Drosophila melanogaster: one gene and its partners. The protein of the gene in region 1 interacts with the protein of each later gene in a pairwise test. Each region holds a gene or a part of one and is shown on either strand. Other genes may lie near its edges.

The links.
Region 2: the proteins of CG6933 (region 1) and CG15126 interact in a two-hybrid assay, tested with the Drosophila melanogaster proteins (one large-scale study listed by BioGRID).
Region 3: the proteins of CG6933 (region 1) and CG3528 interact in a two-hybrid assay, tested with the Drosophila melanogaster proteins (one large-scale study listed by BioGRID).
Region 4: the proteins of CG6933 (region 1) and eIF4G2 interact in a two-hybrid assay, tested with the Drosophila melanogaster proteins (one large-scale study listed by BioGRID).

The regions. Positions count from the first base shown.
Region 1 is NT_037436.4:20,216,621-20,222,756, reverse strand, and holds CG6933 (uncharacterized protein), read left to right. Parts: upstream 1-2,336; 5' UTR 2,337-2,405; coding exon of another isoform or gene 2,406-2,412; intron 2,413-2,521; 5' UTR 2,522-2,653; coding exon 2,654-2,696; intron 2,697-3,093; coding exon 3,094-4,142; 3' UTR 4,143-4,255; downstream 4,256-6,136. Other genes in the region: CG17145 (uncharacterized protein), read right to left, coding at 1-837, 899-905.
Region 2 is NT_033778.4:19,687,902-19,692,529, reverse strand, and holds CG15126 (uncharacterized protein), read right to left. Parts: upstream 1,733-4,628; 5' UTR 1,686-1,732; coding exon 1,524-1,685; 3' UTR 1,452-1,523; downstream 1-1,451.
Region 3 is NT_033779.5:2,515,910-2,521,320, reverse strand, and holds CG3528 (uncharacterized protein), read left to right. Parts: upstream 1-3,283; 5' UTR 3,284-3,364; coding exon 3,365-3,670; intron 3,671-3,723; coding exon 3,724-4,125; 3' UTR 4,126-4,219; downstream 4,220-5,411.
Region 4 is NT_033777.3:23,815,320-23,821,975, forward strand, and holds the start of eIF4G2 (eukaryotic translation initiation factor 4G2), read right to left. Parts: upstream 3,919-6,656; 5' UTR 3,662-3,918; intron 3,501-3,661; exon of another isoform or gene 3,293-3,500; 5' UTR 2,908-3,292; intron 1,712-2,907; 5' UTR 1,693-1,711; coding exon 1-1,692. Other genes in the region: CG34355 (uncharacterized protein), read left to right, coding at 6,211-6,427.

The DNA of each region.
Region 1 (6,136 bases):
TCCGACCGTCGCAACGATCGTGGGAGCAATAGACCGAACTGGGGGTTATGCACATCTGGCTGCTCGCATCGAAGAATCTGTCCTGGGGACACTGGTTCCACACCGGATTGGGGTCCGGGGTGCCATCCTTCTGCTTGGCGCAGTAGAAGTAGCCGCGACAGGTGGCTTCATCCGCGACGAACTTGTTCTCGTAGGGCTTACTGGCCTTGCCGCAGACATCCGTGGGCAACGGATGGGCATCGCAGTCCACCAGAGCCTTGGACACACACTCGCCCGTGCTGGCCTGATAATAGGTTTTCGAGCATGTCTTGTCCTTCAGGACGCCCTTCTCACAGACGTGATACATATTGCAGCCCTGCAGATTGTCGAAGTTTACGCCGTTCTTAACAATGCTGCAGTACTCGAAGGTGCTGGTGGTGCAATCCGATTCGTGTTGGCGGGAGCACATCTGGGTGGTGGCATTGAAGTGCGTCTCCTGCGGACAGGTGCCGTACAAGGCCGTCTCCTCGTCCGCACAGTAATAGTAGCCGTAGCAGGACTTGGGGTCGGCCACGAATTGCTTGGCCCGATCCGCGCAGGATATCGAGCAGCTGGACGTGGAAGTGGACAGTGACTTAACGCATTTGCCCGTGTCCTTGTCGAAAAACGGAGTAGATCCCGTGCATGTACTGTAGTAGCTGACGGAATCGATGCACGTGATCGATTGACTGCAGGATTCGGGATCTCGGATCACCGTATTATTGGAGAACAAGCGGCAGATGTCCTCATTCCGGCCATTAACCACATCTAGGCCTTGAAGCAGTAGCACCAGTGCCACGCCCAGTATGGCACCAAATTCTGCAATTTGAAAAAACAATAAAGTTAGATTTACACCACTGGCAGTTTGCAATCCACTCACTTTCCATTACAGCTCAACTTTGGACAAAGCATAAACTCGTACTGAATCTGAACGTCGACCTGCGATTACTTATAAATATCAGAGGATAAGCAGCAATCACTATTTGCTGGCAAGATAAGCGGATTGGTTTTTGAGGGGTATTCAACTGGGTAAGATGGGTTAAATAAAGATGAATAGAAGTCATTTGTTAAAAGCTCGAAGATTACAATCAAATGTATTGATTTTGCTTAGGGATTTGCTATATAATATTTTTGAAAAGGTAAATGATAGAGCACAAAAAATGGGAATGTTTGATAAAATTGTATTTATAAATTTAATGTTTTTAAGGAGCATTCATAAAATTTTACTTCAGAAAAAATTAATTATATTTTTCGTTGCTAAAGTACTGGGTGATTTCTAGTCGTAGTGAATGGTGATTTTATAAACAAGTTGGAGATTGCCAATTGGCTACCGGTAAATTAAATAGGAAGTAGATAAGTTATCATTTCGGCCAAAAAATAGTAATAAAATGAAGAGCAAGATCAGCTGGTTTAATTCATAAGGCTTAGTGGGTTAATAGAGAGCTTCCCTTCTTTATTATAAAAAAAAAAACATTTTTAGTACTCTACCAATTAAATATAAAAAGTAAATAAGCACGTAGCTTGAACTATTTTTTAAGAATTTAAATTACTTCGAAAATGCCTTGTGATTTGGAAAAAGTATCGAGTAAAGTGTTTAAATGTCATTGCATACTTATGGGCGAATTTCTAAACGGACAAAACTCGCTTTTAGGCGAAACAATAAAATAAGGCGGATAGATTTAAAATAGTTTAACGGAAAATAAAACTGACTAAAAAAATGGGGTTTTTGTTATTAAACATTAACATCAATTATTTTTATAGATTATATAGATAGATAATAAAATTTCAAAATACTTGCATATAATTGTACTATTTAATTATGCATACAAATAAATAAATATATATAACTCATAATTTCATAATTTCATAGTGCGATTTATTTATTTTGTATTTCAGTTCAAACGGTTCTTTTGGACAAGTTATTAATATAAACATTTGTAGTTCGGTAATTTTTCCCCAGAACCTGATAACCTTCAGAGGAAAGTCTAGTCAAGTCAAGTCAAGAGTCGCAGTGCGATTCAAATTGAGATATCTAACTAATGTCGTGTTGCTGAAATGAGTGCCGAGATACCAGGGAAACACCACTGAGTGATCAATAAGAGCCGTGACACTTTCCCGCCTCCTCGAGCTTCTTCGAAATTAAAAAACAATTATAGACAAAGAGGGTTCGCAATCAGCAGCTGATAATCCAAATTCCGGCGCGGCTGTCAACGTATAAAAATATATATAAACTATATATACATACTAAACTAAGTATGTATGGTGTCCGCTGGCCAAGAATCGATTTGAGCTTATAAGCCAGTCCATTTTGGCCGGGTCCGCTAGTTTCACTTTCGTCGTCCAACGCCTTCGAACCGCCTTCAAGCTAACCCAACAACTTCGGAGGGATGCAAGGTGCGTGGTTTACCCCAGACCTTAGAATCTTATCTAGCATTAATTTCGATACTAACGCCCTACTGGCGGCTGGCTTATCTGGCTGACAATTTTTTAATTACCCACCCAGTTCGCGCCGCGAATTGTCAACTATAAAAACGCAAAGGCTGCAATTGATTGAGTTAGTAACGAAATCGGAACGTTCGCTTCGGTCGTCTGTCTATCAAGTGAATTTGTCCCCGAAAAATATTAGCATTCCAAGATGGGAGGTACGTTGGCTCGAAGAACGGATACAGTTATCTCAGGTGCACAGTATTCAAGACGTCTTGCTTCGACTAAATTTTGAAAAGTGGTTTCAAACATGGTTTTAAGGCCCTGAAATTCTCCTGCAAAGGAGATGACTTTCAAAAATGGCTAAAATGACTTTCAAATTTCGATTTGTTACTCAAATTGAGTTTTTCTTTCGTCCTTAATTGATTTTTTATCCAAAAAAAGGGCTGCCGTGTTGGCTACAACAAAGGCTTAACCAATTTTAGAGACGCTAACACGAATTTTGGATTGAAAGCTATCAATTTTGTCGTTTCTAGCATAATTTCTTTGCATTATTAAGTACAAACAAAATAGAAAACTATTCGACGATTACACATGTCTATATTTTATTTAATAATTCATAGTTCGTATCCCCCTGTATCCCCCATTTAGCAATCAATATGAGGATCTGTGTCGTGGCCGCATGTCTCCTAATGGCATCGCAGGCCACCGGCTACACGATGGATGATCTGTGCCAACAGTGGTCGGGCTATGGATACATCGGCAATCCGAGCAACTGCCATGCCTGGGGATACTGCAAGAACCAGGAGGTTGTGGCCTGGGGCACCTGTCCCAACGGCTTGGTGTTCAACGCGCAGGCCGGCAGCTGTGATTACGCTAATACCACGGTGTGCTCCACCAGTGCCGTTGAGACATGCTCCAACGTCAAATCTCCCATGTATGTGGCCAATCCGTTGAACTGCACCGAATACGCCTACTGCGATGGCACAGGCCAAATCTCCTATGGCGATTGCGGCACCGGCGGCGTCTATTCGGCATCCTCCACAAAATGTATATGGGGACCCGCCTGCCCGCAGGACACCATCTGTCGGTTCATGTTGTCCAACATCTTTGTAGGCGATCCGAACCAGTGCGGCAACTACATCAACTGCGTCAACGGCTATGGCACTTCCGAAAAATGTTCCAGCACCGCCAATCCCTACTATAATAAAGCCACTGGCAACTGCCAGTCGACGAATCCGTGCACCGGCGAAGATTCAAACAGTGGAAACTCTGACCAGTTCACTGTTGGGCAAACAAATGCAACTGCTTGTGACGAAGAAGCTTTTAAAGCAGCAGATCCACTTACTGTAAATGGGGAATCTGTTGACTATAGGTACGTTTCTGATGGTGTCACCTGCTATGGGTACTACTACTGTGCAGCAGTAAACGCCACTGGCTATTGGAACCAATGTCCCACCGGTACCCAATTCAATGCTGGCAAGTGCGTTTCGCCAGCCTCCTTTGTCTGTACCCATAACCGATGTGGGAACGTTAACAATCCATTCATGGCAGATGAGGGTTGCAAGAACTACACAATCTGCTCCAGCGGAATAACCGGATCATGTCCCACCAATGCGCCGTACTACGACGAGGTGAACAATATCTGCACCACCAAAATTCCCGATTACGCCATTTGTAATTCGACGGCTAGTACATGAGCATCTCCTCCAGCCACGTCTGTTTGCCGAGATACCTTTTATGAAATATATAAATAAATACCAATGCTGAAGGCATTCAAAAGAAACTAATAAAAATGTTGACTTCGACCAAGCGAAATTTGTTTTAAATGTTGTTGTTTTTGAAATTGTTGATTAGTTGTTCGCCTTTTTGGTAGCAAATCTTTCAAAAAGAGGCTCACAGAAAATGTGCCTCAAAATATAAATATAATTTCTGCGGGATGGGTATTTGTAAATGTTATCTGCCAAGCTAAGTTAATTAAATAATTAATTAAAAAAATTCAATGGCCTCCATCTATTGTATTAGAAGAAGGTGGAACAGTAAAACCCCATTGCTTGGGAAATTTCTGGAGAAGTTACTTGATTGACGTCAGCATTGAGATATTGTTTTGAATTCAGTACTTCAAAGCCTAGTATTGTAGTAGGCTGCTCCTTCTACCCTCTTCCTTTACTCTTAGTCATACATACCTAATTATACATAGCCAATCTAGTCATAAGCTTATACACTCATACACCCATCCTTAACATACAAATATTATCGAGAAACTTATCGACTAATCGACTCGCCACTCTGCAGAGAGCGCGGCAGTCAGTCGCTGTTGAACCAAGCTAAAGGACAGATCAAAAATAAAAGAGACACGTGAAATTGTATTAGAATATTAACTTCTGTAAACGGCGGCTAAAATCTCAGAAGTGGGATTAATAATCCAAAATGGACGATAAAATCATCCTGAACGACTTTTCGCTGACAACCCTAAAAGATTGGCTACGTATTCTGGGCCAAAATACGGAGGGCACAAAAACCGAATTAATCGCGAGGCTGCAAGACATCCCAACGGCAGTTCGGGGCGATTGTCCACCGGAGCACCCCCAGAAAAACGCTCCACCAGGAAACGACATTTTTTCTTCACTGGATTTTCAGAATTGTGAAATTAACACCGATCACGTAAGTGTGAATGCGATGAACAGAAAAGAATCAACCGAAACTGGCAGTGAGAGGGAGACAAACATGTTCGAGCTACAGCAACTACGCGCAGAGCTAGCAGAAGCGAAGGCAATGCTTAACGGAACACGATCGAGCTTGCAGTTCCAAGAACAACAACAACCAGAGCAAAGCAAGGCTACAGTTAGTTCCGTTATCCAGACGGCGCAGTTTACGCAGGCTGGCGCCACAAAAGAGAACACAACATTTCACTCGCCGCAGCGATCCAACGAGAGAGCGGAGAGCCAGCGTTTTCCAGTTGATGCTCTCGCTCTCGCCAAAGAGACGATAACCGATTACGATGGGAAAACTTGCGCGCGTGCCTGGATAACAGTGGTCAAAAATATCGCACGCACTTTCAACATCGATGACAACCATTTACGCATCTTACTCATCACTAAACTTAAAGGAAACGCGCAAGTCTGGTTACATGCGCACCCTGCTCGATTGATCGAACCAATTGACAATTTGCTTGATCAATTGTCATTGACTTTTGGCGAGCAATCATCCAAGGCTGAGATCCGGCGAAAATTCGAGAGTCGCAAGTGGAAAACCGAGGAGAATTTCTGCAGTTATTACGACGAGAAGATGGCTCTCTCAAACGGGATAAACATCGACGACGACGAACTACTGGACCAGATGATAGAGGGCATACCGCTACAAAATTTCCGTACCCAAGCACGGATTCAATGCTTCTCTACTCCATCGGAGATGCTACGCGCATTTTCGAACATCCGTTTGCCAGCTCGGAGGGAGCCACCTGTACAGCCAACCGACTACAAAGATGCCATACGATGCGCAAACTGTAATTCAAGAGGACACAAAGCTGACATCTGCAAGAAGCCCAAACGTGAACCAGGTTCGTGCTACGCCTGTGGACAACTTGGACACCTGGTGGCACAATGTCCCACAAGGAAGAGCGTTTCATCTAATAATTATGTAAGATGGTTTAAAATTAATTTTTTTGAAAATGCTTATAAGCCCATAATTTCAG
Region 2 (4,628 bases), on another chromosome or scaffold:
TTTGCAATTATTTAAAAGGCATGTCATAATATACTTCCAAGAAATTTCCATATATATATACGGACTTTTATATTAAGTAATATTTTTGTATTTCTGGTTTAGTAGCACCTGAGATTGTGTTTTGATTGACAATCTTTATAAGTAGAGATAAAATGGTTCGAATTCCTAATCAGCACTTAACAAAACTGCTTTTGGCCATTGCAAGCAATCGAAACAGTAAACGTTCGCAGGGTCTTAAATTTTATGTCTATCGGTGGAGAACAATCCAAATGTTCCACAATAGACATCCAAACCCTTGAGCTTTGTTCGAAGCACTAACTAAACCTCAGATTTGGCTCTCCGATTTTTCCAATTTCACTCAATATGTCGACGCATGCGTGTCGTAGTACCACAAGGAAACACTATGATTAAAAATGTCGCCACTGTGCCAGGAAAATCTCAATTTATCGGTACTCTCAGTTTTCAGCTATAACTTGGATTTTTGTCTCTTTAATGCTCTCTTTTTTCACCAGCTGATGGCCCGAAGTTATGGCTAACATCGCGCCTCTGTCGCCCAAAAGCGTGCTTCGGTTTTTCCTTTTAGGTTTTCCCTTGGCTGTTTTCCGCTGCCTTTCGTGAAAATGCCTTGGGTTGAGTTGAGTTTTTGGGTTCGAGGTTTAAGGTTGGGGATTTTTCGGGGTTGGGTGACCGGGAGCAGCGACTCTTTGTTGCTTTTGTTGGCACTCTGCTGCCGCTCCTGCTCCTCCTACTGCTTTCAATTCAATTTTTCGCCAGCTGTTGTGCTTAATTTGAACTTTAAGCATTTTCCTTGTTGTTGTTTGGGAATTTCCGGCTTTAATGCGGCATTTCTGCGGCTGGGCGACGAAAACAACTCAATGTGAATCGGAAAATGGAGAATAGGGAACCGATTTCGTAGCGTTAAGAAGTCCTTTGTGGGTCAACCAGTCAGCCTTTTAACCGCTAATGAAGACTTATTTCGCAGCACAGCAAAGGCAATGCACTTATTTATGGTTAGGCCGTAGTATTTCCCATCCGAAATATGGACCGGTTGACAGTATAAATAATGTGTTCCTTTGCCAGAATTTATGGCACTTGTATGTCTTCTGGTCTTCGGCATCCACTTGGCTGCTATAAATTAGAGCCACCGACCAGTCCGACCTTAAATGTGAAGTGCGTGTGTGTATGGCTACAGGATCTCCACCTCCAACCACATCCATCCACTCCCCCTCAAATACGCACACACACACACACACACACGCATTCCCGACACGCAACAAAACACACAGATACCATTGGTACACTTGTATTATGGCAGCGGCTTTTGAGGTTTTAAAGCGTTTTGAGGTGACACATAATGATTAGCCAGCCATTAATTGCTTAGCACTCGAGGCACTCGATTACACTAATTAGGCGTCTTATTAACCTTAAACACATACACAGTTACAGAACTCCTTCGGGGCATTCGTATTTATTACGTGAGGGTTCTTAAAACTACAATCTTTAATAAATTCCTTTATAAATTCTTATGAAATTGTGCAGCAAAGGCAGCAGGGACGAGGTCCGTGGTGATGATGGGGCGGTCCATGGTGATGTGGCGGTCCATGGTGGCCTCCATGATGCGGGGGTCCGCCATGATGCGGTCCTCCATGTCCATGGCCTCCGGGTCCTCCGTGTGGTGGTGGCATTATTCAGATATTTTTGCAAACTTTGAAAACCGTGCGGTTGGGTCCAACTCTTATAGGCAACTAAATCCATATTGTCAGGGTAAATCTAATCAAGACCTGCCTCATAAAGATAAGTACTATCTAATCTGTATAGTATTGCTTGCTAATCGATAGAAGTGTTAGTTAGCACAAACATGGGAATATTATGATGACCATGGCGATGAGTAAGGCCTTGTAAATGCTGAATTAGTCATGACAAATAAAATGAGGAAAACCCCTCTAAGGTCTCCTTCTGAGATAGCCATATGTACAATTTTTTTTTGCTTCTAGTTTTTAAGTGATAAGATTAAGCTTCCAAAATTATAAAAAGTACACTACCGCTGGGACTTTGTGAAATGTGCATTTTCTCTATTGTACACTTAAAATTTAATAATAATTCAAAATAACATAACCCAAGAGATAACAAATGTAACTTTCATTGGTAATCTATTCCAAGGTATTTCCGATTTTCTAAAAGGTTTGTTGGTAAATCGATAAGATAATGGCTTTCAAATTTTGCGGAATTATGTGCTTATAAGACCGCCCAATCGATCAACATTATTCTATGGAAATTCAAATACGAATTCGAATGTTCTTAGAATACACGACTTATTGGCTTTCTTCTGAAACCGAAACTCCATTTGTACTTTATTTACTGCCCTTGCCAATGAAGGCAATAGTACTTAATAATTGTAGAATACGAACTTTCCACCAATCTGATTTTGTCAATTTGCCATTGAGATTGCTATAGTGCATATATAGTTCATGCGAGTGGAGCAACTTGATTTTAATTCCTGATAAAGAAAAGGCAGCCGTGGCCATGTAACTATTTACTTTCCCCATGACATGACCCAGAAAAGTATGGCGAAAATTCGCCAAGCCAAGTGCAGGCACATTCGGCAAGAAAACGGATGGAGCAAGACCAATGGCTTGGCTTTTTGAATTCAATTAATTTTATCTGCATCAGTTTTCCCTTATAATCGCATCCCAGGGCTGCTCACATGCGAAACGGAAAACGGCTAAAGGACTGAAGGACGAAAGGACGCTTACTCGAAAAAAGGACCGCAACTCGTAAAATATATAAAGTCATTGCAAAAGCCAATTTGTATATCAGCGTTGGCGGCTGAGGCCCGGCGATTATCAAACTGCGAAACTTACTTAAAATGCCCTCAAAAGGGGGTTTCCCTTGCCAAATGGAACGGTGAAGGGGAGTTGGCCCTGCTTTCATGGTAACAATTACATTTCACAGATTTTCGTTTGGGGTCGCGTGTGCCGTTGCATGTTGTTGGTGCGGTCGCATTCGCGTCCGCTTTTCGCGTTCTTTATTTCGGGCTTAAAGGAGCTTACATTATCGCCGGGTTGGCAAAAGGCAAAACCCACACACCGGCAGGCGAATTTCCACTGGCTGATGGGCGACGTCTAAATATGAGAATGTTGTGTGAAAATGTTTAAAATCCACGCGAGCCTCTCCGAGCGCAAATGCTTAGCACGCCATAAGTGTCAGCCAGCCATGATTGCCTGCGGTTTTCCCAGTGTATTTTCCCGTCTGTTCTATATGTGGATACAGTTGCGGTTACATAAATAGTGCTAGATCTATATAATATGTTTTGTAAACAAAATGGTTCGGTTTTTACCCTAAGACTTATGGTATTTATTAGTTTTGTTTTGTTAGTTATTTTTGGCTACAATACATTTCATAATACTTAATAACTTTTTAATTGTGGTTCATATTCGCGTTATACTTTTTTTTTGGTTTTTTTTTAACTATTATAAAAACTACTATTAAACTGATCGCGGCTGTAAATGTGTGGGTTTTATTCCTTTGGCCAAGGAGTGGCCACTTTTGCATACCTCCCCCTGAAAATAGCGTGGCGGGCGCTAAGAAAGGAAGTAAATAGTGGAAAAGGCATAAATAATAGCAAATAATACGGCGACAATGCGCACAAATTTGCCGCTAAAGTGTAGTCATTGTCGAGGAAAAAAAAGTAGAAAAAAAAATTAGAAAAGGAGTCCTGTGCGTGAGCTAAGCCACAGGACCTGCCTTTGCTTTTTGCATGATTTCGCTGTTTAAATTTATTACACATTAGATTTATGATCGCGTTGAGTTGCCCCTACTTCCCGCAACACTCCTCACTGCTTATCACTGCCCTTTGTGGTGGCTTTAATTTCATTGTTACAACTTCTATTTGAACTGAGTGTGAAGCATAATTTATAGGTGACCGTGTGGCGAGTGTGTGCAAGTTTTTAAGTGATTTCTTTCGCTCGGGTGCCACTGGGCATGCACAATTATTGGGTGGCCTGTGCCACTTCTGTCACTCGCCTTGCGGTCAAATTTCCACAGAGGGTTTCCCCCGGTTTTCCCCTAGTTTTCCCATTTAATCACAGGTTTTGGATAGCCTTGCGTGGCTTTTAAGCGCTTATTAGAAGTGTGACAGAATTCGAAGTTGAAGAGGAAACGGAGACGCCCCCTCACTTGCCACTTCCATTTGACACACACGAAGGCCCACACTAATAATATGGGGCAAGCATTAGTTGTGCCTCGAAATACAAACAGTTGTGAATTAATGAAAACTTTAATCAAAATATGAGAAAAGAATTAAACAACACGTTTTACGGCTCATTATAAATGAACTAGGAAAAACAAAGAGCAAACAAAATAGTTTATGGAAAACCTAATAAATCATAGGAAACGTTGAAATTTACTTTCTTTCAAAATACTGATGTTAAGCAACACATATCATCGAAACATATCGGACTCCTTTCAACCCACACTTGTTTTAATCTTTATTAAATTTATAGTAAAATTAACAGCCAAGTTTTAATAACACTTTAACACTTACTTTATCAAGTTGTACACAATACTCATTTTAAGAGCGTGAAAACGATACCCATTAGAATTTTGGCAAGGTCTACATCGCAAAACTA
Region 3 (5,411 bases), on another chromosome or scaffold:
ACTCTTTAAAGGACTCTCCGCAAAGCGGCTAGTTATTCCTGTCTGATACCCGAACCATTACGCATACGCACTGTGTACGCCATTAACGGCCATTTCACATTTCCTGCTATCGAATTTCCGGTTGGGAAGTTTCCCAAACAAACCAAGCCAAACAAACCGAATGCGAGCCATTGAAGATGCTCACGTTCGTGTTGATTACACAAAGCCCTCGGCACGGCAGTTTACAAGAAAACAAATTAATGTTCTTTTCCTTGGCCCAATGATTACGCCGATAAGTTCGGTTTTTTACACAGCCTTCAAGTTGTTTTTCCCGGCAGATGAAAAGTAAACAAGATGACGCTGGCGGTGTGGAAGGAGGTTGAAAATGCTTGGCGCGTGTCTGCCGCAAAAATTGCCGGAAATTTGTTTGAGCTTTAAATTACAAATCATTATCGATGCGCATTATAAGTATTCGGCCTCTGAAAAGGAACCGGACAACGGGGCGATTTCCTACTGCCGCCAACGGCACTTGTAAAATCACTTTGAATAATATTGCATTTGGGCTCGGGCCCATTGCTGCTTTTGTCTCCCTTTGAGCAGATTAATTTCCGGCATTTACACTTAATTCCCCAGTTTCTGTCTAAGACCCAGTCCCCAAAATCGATGCAATCAGCTAAGGAGCAATTTACCAACATGTCAACGGATGGACAGCAATCGAAGCAGCCGCATTAGGCAAAATCGGGGCATACTGGGGAGGAAAGCTTTAGATTTGCACACATTACCACTCAATCTTCATATACCCAGTGTCTATGATATGCAGGATTTGAGGCTGTCCCATCTTGCCCAGTTCCCTTTTGCCCGCTTGGGCAAATCCTTCGGCCAGGACCTCGGCATGCACATGATGTCCACATGGCCGCAAAGATTTATTTACAATTGTGTTGAGACATAATTCCTTTTGATCGATTGCGGGACCACCGCTCCCAAGGGATGTGGATGTGGATGCGGACGTGGATGTGGAATGGACGGGCTATGGATGTGGCTGTGGAGCTTTGTGGTCAGTTGTAAGTGATGATTCTTTTGGTCCGTCCTTTGTCTTGGCTGCGTTTCGTTGGGCTCCATTTTCCCTGGAGAAAAGTGGAGAATGCCGAGAGAGGGCAGAATTATTTGCGCAATTTATGTGGCTTTGATTTCATTGGCTAGATGTACGGCCCGGGCGAGGGCAATTTATGGTAACTTGATAATTTGTGTTAGCATTTGCCAACAGTTCAAAGGACTCGTGGCTGTAAGCCATTTATTTGCCGGACATGTGGCACTACTACCACTGCCAAGCGTCATTATAATAAGGAAATTGCACTCCAGAGTGGCGATGGGATTACACAGAAAATCTGGGAGTTTCGTAGTTAGGGGTCTGCAAAATGAAATCAAAATAGGAATTATAAAAACCCCTTCCTGGTTGACTTGCACATGCAAGCAGTATGCTTTTCTACGCTTTTCGGCAATCATGTCCATTGTCATGCTCGAAATGTATGAATGCTTGAAAAAATATGATTTACATATCTAGAAGTTCTCTGATAACTTCAATCTATGCAACTGCTCAAGTGGATGATTGGCATGCCCTGTGCGATAATGACGGCAACTGCTCAACTATAAATTCCAGCCCTCAGTCCATTCAGCACTTTCTGCAATTGAAATGCAGTTGCAGCCAGCCGACTCATTCATCAGAAATGTGCACTTAACACATGGCAAAAGCAGCCTCGACTTTCCCGAGGCAGCATTGAGCATTGCCGCCTCATTCTTTGGTAATGCACATAAATCCTTAGAGTGCGCACTTAACTCCTTTTTATGCTGCGACAAAGTACATTTACTAATGACCAAGTCAAACAATGGCCACGGCCAAGACGCAGCGGGCGAAATGCGAGTCCTGGCAGTCCTGGCGGTCCTGTAGGTCCTGCCAGTAGACTGGCGGGAAGTGGGTATGTCGTGACTTCAGCGGGGAGCAGGAGGATTGGCCCACGAAGTAGCAATTTACGCGCTCAAGACGGCGGCAAGCGGCAAGATGGTGACAAAGCATGCAAAACGGAACAGCAGTTGTTGCCCCAAAGTGATGGAGAGGGGGGAGGGAAGGGAAATTGTGAGAAGGCTTGGGAAAATGCAGAGGAAAACTATGGAGGGGGATCTGCACGTGGAGGAGCACTGAGCTCCAAGTGTCGGCAGCGGCTGCATGTTAATTGCTGCAGCGACGACAGCAACAACTGCAAACAGTGGGAAAGCGTGTCTAAATAGCGTAAATTCACACAGACACACACCTTCACGCAGGCAAGGGGAAAATCTAGCTGCGTATTGTGTGTGGAAATTGAAAAGCGAGCTGGAAATCTGCCAGGAAGTGCAGGACATCTTACACACCCTATTTGATATATAAATTATGGCTGATTAGCAGCGGCTGTTGGCATTGTTTTAATTGGTTTACCTGGTGATTAATCTCAAATGGCGAAAGGAACTTTGAAAGTGATTTATTTTTAAGGCAGGTTACAGTATCCTGTACAATTTCATAGACTTGGGTACATTTTTTAGTTGACTATAAACTATTCGTTGCAAGTTCATCAACTGGTTACCGTTTATGTGTAAATCTGATCTGATCTGAAAGTCCTTGGGATTCATAGGGCGATGTGCGGAACACTAGGTGTCACTTGTTAGACTGCTAATCCTCGACAGTGTGCGCTCAACGGGATATCAGGCGGAAAAGGACAAAGAGCGCTGCATACGCACAGGCTGAAAATGCAAATTTTCCCTTTGGCTGGCTGGCAGTTTAAAATGTTGATGAAGTAATTAGTTTAATATGCGAAATGCCCCTGATGGGCGGCGGGAGAGGGCGTGGCACATAGGGAAGTGTAATTGAAAATACTCACAGTTCTGGGCTAAAAGGGACAAGGGCACAGTCGGGGCTTGGGCATTGTGAAACTTTTTCCATTTATTAAATTTGCCACACGAACAGCGCAGCGGATTCTGCCAAGGGAACTCTATGTGGGAAATGTTTAATTATTTGTGCGCACATGAAATTAAAGCTGTTACAAATTGTTACAAACCATTCCGGCTATCAGTTTCTCAAACAAATTTCAATTAAGATAAGACTTTTTCACGAGTTTCGAAAATTAGAAGGAATATTTTTTGTGCTCAGCTACTTTCATTCGAAATTGAATATGAGAACAACTCTGCTTCTTCAGGCCCAGCAAAAGTTTTGCCTTTTGAGCCAAAGTTGGCAGTTTGTTGTCAGTAATGTATTTTGCTCGAACTTATTCAAAATATTATACATTTTGATTTACACGAAATCACAGTTTTCTTGCCATTCAGCAGCTTTTCAGTTTTAGTTTTTTGAGTTTCGCGCGGAATGAATCTGATTAACTTTAATCATTACCAGGACTATGTAGACAGCTTCATAACCATCCAGGACACTCGCTATTTGGGCAACAAAGAGATCCAGAGGAACCTGATCCAGAATGCCTGCGGTAAGAATTGCCTGGGTAATCTGCTCACCCGCGAGCAATTCTACCAGCGGAAGGAGAAAGAGTTGGTGCTTCTAAAGCCAAGGGGACTACGAGGACTCCAACTTTTTGGAGACTACTTGAACAACAAAGATGAGGTGCTCCAACAGTTTGCCAATCGAGAGAAGAAGCTGCTCGAAAAGCAAATTTCGGTTAGAAGGTTACATTTATGTGTAGTGAAATGTGTACATTTTGTAATTTTTAGACCGTCGTCTACCTGGTGATGCGTTCGAAGAAGGGTCTAGAGATCTCCAGCTTTCTGGACCTGGAGCAGAGTCTGCGCGAGTCGCGATTCGAGAACTCTACAAGCTGCGTAGACTGGCGGGCCATTTTCGAGGGCAGAACGAAGCTGAGGCCATCGAATCTGCATCTCAGCTACTTCGACTGGCACCAGAATCGTGTGTCCTTCAACAACAGCGACAATTTCCGGGTGTTGAACAAGAGGCCCCACAGTCTGCTGCTAAAGCATGTTGGCGATCACAAAATATTCTGTGTGAACGCCTCCTGCGATTGCGAGCACTCGAAAAATGTCAGCCGCAAAACGTATTTCTCGCCCATTTATGGATATGTCATATTCTTCGACCACATAATCAGGCGCATTAATTAGCGACGGCTTTAAAGTGTCAATGAACGTAATCGTCGTTAAATGAAATGTGCAAATAAATCGAAACGAGGGCGCATTTGTCGCTGACAGCTAACGTAAATTGCTTTTCATATCTTATCAGTACAGTTCTGGTCGCAGTTTTTGATGGACGTTTCGAGGTCCTTCCGCCCGGCGAGTCCTCCGTCCATCAGGCGGCGGAAATTACCCGAGCTTTATGCCACTTTGTTGAGTTTATCGCAGTCAGGGAACATCAATTGCATAAATCTATTAACTGTCGCCCGGCGGAATGGGGGCGTGGTTGAGCCTTCAACTTGACCAATATGTTTCTGTTTGCGCATTTGCCATTGTTTGCCAACTTGCTTGTGTGGGTCAGCTTATGACGCTTTGTTAATTCTCCCAACAGTGTGTCTGTTTAATTGGCCTTTCCACTCATGCAAATCAACTTGGCCAAAATTTACACAAGGCTGAAAGGAGAATTTGCTACGGCTTACACATTGGTGGTTAATGAGTTGAAAATATTAGTAGTCAGTCTTAATAAAAATTATATGAATACAATTAAATCCACTCTGTTGCCCAGATACCATGTTTTTGGAGAAGCAAATTCAAATAAATATTAAATACGCCTAAATTATGATTTAAGTGCCACATGCAGAGGCAGTGCAATTTAATTTGCATATACAATTAGCTGCTAATTTACAACTTTTAGTCTCCACTGGGCCATGGCTAAGTTCGCCCAGAAACAATTCAATTAAAATAAACATTAAGTGCTGCAGCCTCAGCTGCATTTGCCCAGCCAGTGTTCAGGTGCAAATGGAGGTCCTGGGTAGCAAGGATAAGTAATATTCCTCCCACTGGCGGACACAAAAGTCCAAATAAATATTTGCTCGGCTTCCCTTAGTCAAGTCCACAGAGCCGTGAGCTGGTCTATGTGTCTTTGTTCTCCATTAAGATATGGCAAATTTGTTGCCCCCCAAAAAAACAAACAGGAGGATAGAAATTCAGAAATTCCCTTCGGCTGGCATTGAGATTGCATTTTACGGGCCAAATAAATTTCATACGATATAAACTACCAATTTGCCGCCAGACTGCATTTTCAAGACCAAAAGCCCGCGCTGCCAACCAGCCTGCCTATATATTTCGATTAACAAATGGATAAAATAATAAAATAATTGTGTTATATATTCCCCACCGTGTTTTTGCGATTGTTTTGACAAATTTCACCAATGATCATTGAGCTCTATTCAAGCCAATCAGCCGTATACAATTTAGACTTTTGACCAACGCAGTCA
Region 4 (6,656 bases), on another chromosome or scaffold:
CTGATCTTTATCCGTTGATTTGGGTGGAGGCGATGGGTGTACGTCCTGACCGACAGCGTCTTTGCAGTACACCGCTTCTGGCACCTTTTCCAAGGAAACGGACTGCTTAAGGGAACTCGCCGGCTTCACAGTCTGCATCTGCTGATCTACCATTGCGCCAGACAATAACGATGACCCCGAGCCAGAGTCCATCAGAGTGGGCGCCTGGTACAGGCACAAGGTACTATTGTCATCCAGAGCTGTGTCCAGATCTGTGTGCTGTGTTAGTGTCGAGTTTGAGTCCTTTTTTATAAAAACCGATCTTTTCCATCCATCCATCACATTCTCCATGGTGTCAGGATGGATGATGGGAATGGCGTATTTGCGCTTGCATACCTTATCGCTGTTGGCCCCCAGTTGCGGTGCTGTTGTTACTGACGGAGTTGGAAGCGAGGTGGTTGAAAAACCACTGGCCACCGCGGGAACTCCAGTCACACTTGGGACACTAGGTAAGGTGGTGGCGCTGTTGCTCTGCAAGTGCGGAGCAAATGTGTGCAGCCCGCCTGGTGGTTGGGGTGGCGGCGCCTGCATTCCAGCCGGAGCCAAAATAGGGGTCGTCATCCCGGCGGGCGGTCCCAATGCCAAACTGGGAATGCCAAAGTTGTGCGGCAGATGATGAAAAGCAGCAGCTCCGTTCAGTGCACCGCTGCGCGAGTTCATCATTGGAGCCACATTTGTCGGAGCGGGACGTTGGGCATTTCCTGGGGCCATGGTATATGCGGTAAAGTAGTTGGTATGTTGGGCGGTGGGAGTAGATCTTTGCCCTCCGCGCATATTGCCGCGATGTGTATTGGCACCACTAACCACGTTGTTTCCAGCAGAGTTTTGAGCGTTCGGCCCAAGTTGGTAGTAAGCTAGTGTCGGCGTTTGAGCAGCTCCCGGTGCCCCGCCTGGACCTTGTTGTTGAGCAGTGGGAGGAAGCTGTTTCTGTTGTGGAGGAGGTGGCGCAGCCGCATAGAATGAAGCTCCAGCCGCTCCGTTAGTGGGAAAGGTCACAGCTGGCTGCATGCCCATCAGAGGTCCGGTCTGATTAATTGGTATATAGGTGGCGGAAATGTAGGGTCCACCCGCATTTCCGCCGGCAGGTGCGATCAGGCCAGCTGATTGTTGAAAGTGGGGTGGTAGAGTTGGGTTGCTCAGGGCACGAGGCATGTTTGACCCCGGCGCCACGCCATTTGCTCCACCATGGTGACCACCAGTAAGAGGATGTCCCAACGTGTTGGAACTGGCGGCGGCGCTCAGTTGGAGGGTAGCGCCGCCGCCGTTGGCACTGTTGTTAACCGCCGCGGAATGCGCGGCGTAGGACGGCTGGGTATTGTAGAAGATGACCGGCTGGTGGTGCGCCTGGGCCTGGGCTTGCACCTGCTGCTGTTGTTGCTGTTGGATGTGTTGCTGAAGATGAGCGGCGGCGACGGCTGCTTGTTGTTGGTGTTGCTGCTGCTGCTGTTGCAGTAAGTGCTGCTGCTGGTGGTGGTGCAGGCCGCTGTGGTTCGGGACGAACACTGCGTGGGACTGCTGCTGCTCCTGCTGTTGCTGGAGGTGATGGTGGTGCGAGTGCGTCGCCTGGTGATGCTGGGCTTGATGGTTGTGGTTCTGCTGATGTGTCGACTGTGGCCTGGTTCCCTTCCCACCCCCTCCCTGTTGAGGGAACATAGGAGGACCTTCGAAGGATCTGCACACGCATACAATCGCACCGTCACACGCACAGGCACACACGGAGAGTTAGGAAAACCGCGGCCAGAGCAAAACAGATGTACAAATCGTAATGTTAGTAAGATGGAAATGAAAGTGAAAATGGAGTTGGCGATGTGGAAAATGCTTGGCGTATTAGGTTTTCAGTCAAAGCCGTGAGTACATGCGAATGAGAGTTAAATCAAACGTGTGCAAAAGCAACCAAAAATGATCATGCAAATTATGTGTTTACATCTTATGACTAAGGGCTATTTTACAAATGCACTCCCTCTTTTACCCTTTTCTTTATTCTTTAATATTTCAATCAATTGAGCTCTTTAATTGGAATGTGGTGTATGATGTCACTCGCGGGGCGTGTATACATCCAAAATGCTTTCGAAGATGGCTCGACACCTTATCGCGCCGGTTTTATCAATGGACTAGTCACTTGCGCAGCCTAAATACTTGTACATAGGTGACACACGGTAACAAGTGGCGCTATTAGTCAGTACTGGCCTTAAAGCGGAACAAAACAAAGGCAGCCACAAAGAAGCAGCTGCCAGCGAGCGTAGGAGGTGAGCTATGGGCTGCTGTCGTCTTTATGGCTACAACCAGTTTGGCATTCCGTCAGCACTTCCATCGGCACAGTGGAGACCGCAAGAACTAGATCACTTAAAACTGTTTACGATATGATTTCTTTTAGTTATAATACTACCAAACGGAATTTCATTGTTGTTTTGCTAAGCAAGCGTTCAATGCTGATTGATAAGAATATGAAGACAAACATTGGCCAATATTCACTGTGGTGTTCTCTTTGGAGCTCTCTGCTGGCCTAGAAAAACCAACTCCGCTGCAGTTTGCGGCCAAGCACCTTCAAGCCAGAAGAAAACCAGTTTTCCAGCAGACGAAGTACGTGCATGGCTCTTTTCACTCCATGGCGAGGAAAACGAAAACCTGGCTGGCAGATAGGCTCACTTGTTTCATGTTTGTTTGTAAACAAAACCAGTTGGAGTGTGTGGGTGCTGCTCTAAATGGGATCGCGATCGCTTATTGGGAGTGCATTCGTACTGGAGGCAGTGTGTTATAGTAGTAGTAGTGTGTTATTAAACTAATAAACAAACAATTAATGTAAATTGCGTGAAAAAGCAAGCAAATACTAGAATGGGAGTAAGTTGTAAGTCAGATTTCGAAACTTACCGCTTCCTGTGCTTCGATTGGTAGATGTGATGATTATAAGGGTATTCGATTTATCCTATTTCTTAGTTCCTAAGGTAGACCTGCCTTTAAGCCTATCCGGCTTCCCTTGACACCTGGTCAAGCTCTACGCCTCCTCCTGCTGCTGCTTATTTGCTCCTCCGTTCCTTTTTCCTATTTCTCGTGGAAACTCCTCGTCTTTGTGGTTGTTGGCTCTATCCGGAATACTACAATAGCTCAGATATTCCATGTATAAAAATACTCCAATTCACTGTGATGCACATGCACATCTGCATTTGTGCAGACGGACGAGGGGCACGTACACGTACATGCGTACAAATATACAAAATAACGTACGGCTAGTGCTAAAATTTCACGGTAATTTGTTCTGTAATTAAAGGCGTTAGAGGAAGTTAAAACGTATGCTTAAATTTTGCAATTGCGAGGAATCAAAATTACAATATGATGAATATGAACACCAAAGCAGCGCCTGCTACGAATTTATTCCCTCTCCTTGTCCAGCTGAGCAGCCTCAGCCCCGGATTGAGAATGAGAAATGGGCAGCCAAGTGCCAATTCGTAATTTGACACTAATGGCAAGGGGACTTTTTGTAGGTTTTTAACCTTTTTCAGATTTTCAGGTAATACTTTTCCCCGAAAAGGCGAGGCGTTGGTTTATGTTTTTTTACCGTTTTGACTTTTTGCCGTTCGCTCTTTTTTTGCGCTCTCTCTGTCTCTGTCTGGCCGCCAGTACTTACCGTTCTGCTCCTGCTCGCTAGCACGCTCTCTCGCTCGCACTCCACACACAAAACTGAGGAAGGAAACAAAAAAAAATGCAGTTCCACGCGGGGAACACGCCAAAAAGTTGCTCTGGCACTGCGCCTTTACATTAGTGCATCGTCTGCTTCACCTCGTTATGTATACACGGCTCACTATCTGTTACAAACAATTTTGTAATGTAAATAGTCTGCAGAAACACGTCCGTTTCGTTTGATGAAATAAGAGTGACCGTTGCACGTAGGGATGGAACATAACTCGATGGCGGCAGCATCGATGTCTACGCAGCGAATATCGATTGTGAAAGTTCCAGAAATATCCCGCAGGAATATTATACATTTTAGTGCGTCCTCAAACCGGGGTGGAGAACTTGGATTCAAGCTTGGCGCGTAATATTTTGAACGTTCTTCATCATAAGAATAATCATTCTTTCGAAATAGAAAAATAGGCCTTATGCAGGTGTTATAATAACAATTATTATATAATGCGCATTGTGGTGCATGACGCAGAATATCATATAAATTCCACACATATTTCGCTGTTATTATTGTTTATTCTAACTTTACATTTTAATTTGAATGATATATTCATAATTTACGCATTCGTAGGACAGCATATGCGCAGAATCCTGTTTCCATTCCATTCGCAACTTCCGGATTGCCTCCCCTTAATGCTCTTAGACTACCCCTCGTGCAGAAATTGCAGTGTTTACGCGCTTGTAGTAAAAGTTTTGCTCTTTCTGTTTTGCCGGATGCGCAACGCCCTCCACTTCCCACATAATCCTTTACTCTGCGCCCTCACCTCCCTCTAGTATCCGTTTTTCCAATGCTATACCCTTCTCTACTTATTACTCCTTATCTCAGTATACACTATGGCCAAAACTTTAAAGTAAAACGAGTGCAAGAATGAACTCGGAGCCTTATTGCAGCCTAAAAAAATTATATACACATAGAGCCCACAAACAGAGTCTGAAGGGATTATTTGGTGGTTGAAAATGCAAAAAGACTAGACCGCAAATGCAAATATTTTAACTTGGCACAACGAAACCGCATACGGACTGTCCGTATTTTGCATTTTTTTTTTTCCATTTCAGTTGTGAAGTCATTTGCAATGCTTGTTTTCCTGTGCGTACTGTCATGTTTTTGTGGCCTTTGCGGTTGCACTAAAGATAGTGTGAGGACAACAGATGAGTAAATGGACGAGGCTCTTACTTTTTTTCAATAATTTTGCTCTCAGCACAAACATTTTGAATATAACGGTCGCTGAGTGCGCTACCTGAGCGGCAGGTTTTGACAATACAATTCGAAAATGAAATTGCAACACTTTCCGAAATTTGGATCAAAAAGATACGATTTTTAAAGTTTTATTTAAATTTTATACATTTTTCAAAGATAATATCGTCTTACATCTTATTAATTTATTTAAAAGTATACTTATTAATTGAATCCCCCTTAAAAAAAAAGCCTCTGCTTTTTGGTATATTTTGAACCCATAATGATTTAATTTGGTATTTCTTTCAGCACCGCATGGTATCTTTCGGGGACGCGAGTGCAGCCACACCAAAAGCGAATTCCTTTACTCCCGCTGCGGTCACACTAAGTCCGAAGCTTGATTCGCCCTGACGCGCGTAACGCTTTTTTCCCGCATCACTTTCCTCCACTTTGGCGCTGAAAAATTCTGCACAACAAGAAGAGAATGCACCAAACTGAAATTGCAACCGACTGCGACTACTGCACCTGAGCCGGTTACGAAATCAACTCTTATATTACTCATATAATTTTGGCATCCATGTAGAAACGAATAAAAATAGTGCGCGAACTGAAAACCCGTTAAAACGAGAATGGGCATAGCCCAAAATAAAACTTTTTCGTTTCTTTTTTACCGTTTATTTAACACAATCAATTAAAATAAAACCAAACACAAGATTTACTCAAAGTAAATCGCGTATAAGCTCGACTACCATAAATGTTAATGTGAAAATTGTGCAATAATTAGAGAAATTTCTAAAAGAAATTCATAAGTGCGGTATTCGTAAATTGCATTGTTTGCAAATGCAAAAAGCAAATGTTATGCAACTATAAGTTACAAGTTAAAACATACAAAAAGTAAACAGAAAATTAATAACCAACCGACAGTACATACAGATAAATGTATATATATAGCGAAGCAATGTGTGTATATAGAGCACTTTGAGACCTCGAAACAAGGACTTCGCCAAGGACTACGGATTACTACACTTTGCCGCCAAGCTCTTTGGCTGGCTTAAAGGAAACCCACCAAAATTAAGAAAACCTAATCTGAAACAAGGTCGAAGCGCGGAATTCCGAACTCCCACCTAAGCCCCACCCCCGGCCTGGAAGCACCTGTGCCCGAAAAACCAAAACCCCGGGCATTCTCACCCACGCACGCAAGCGCAGGATTCTGGTAACCGTCGAGGCATCCAAAAGTTCGATACGAGTGGAAAAATTTGGGAGCCAACGAAATTACTTTTGCTTTGATTCCGCCTTTTGTTTCAATCGCCCAGCCGAAAATGTGGAGGAAAGCGAGCAGGTTGGTCAGGGAAACCACCTCGTGGAAAACGCGTCGTCAGGGACAAGCGGAAGCCCCATCAGCAGCAGTAGCAACAATAAAACCATCGACAAGGACGAGCACGCCGATTGCCCACGGATTACCCATCATCATCACATGGTCGCAGCTCGCTATTGTTGCTGCTGTTGCAGTGCTCCTGCAATGCCACGTCTGTCAAGGTAAGTGAGTGGCACCCATCCTCCATTCGTGTGTCCCGTGGGTGTCCTTCGAAGTGTCTCTGTGTGGGTGCCAACGGACAGCGAGGGGTCACATATTAGGAGCGGAAAGGTCACCAATTAATACTGCAGAATCGGAAAGAAGACGCATAATAATAGCAGGGAATGCTGGTCTATTTTTATTCCAAATCATTCCAATTCATTTAATAAAAAAAAGTGGAGTTTGTTCAGT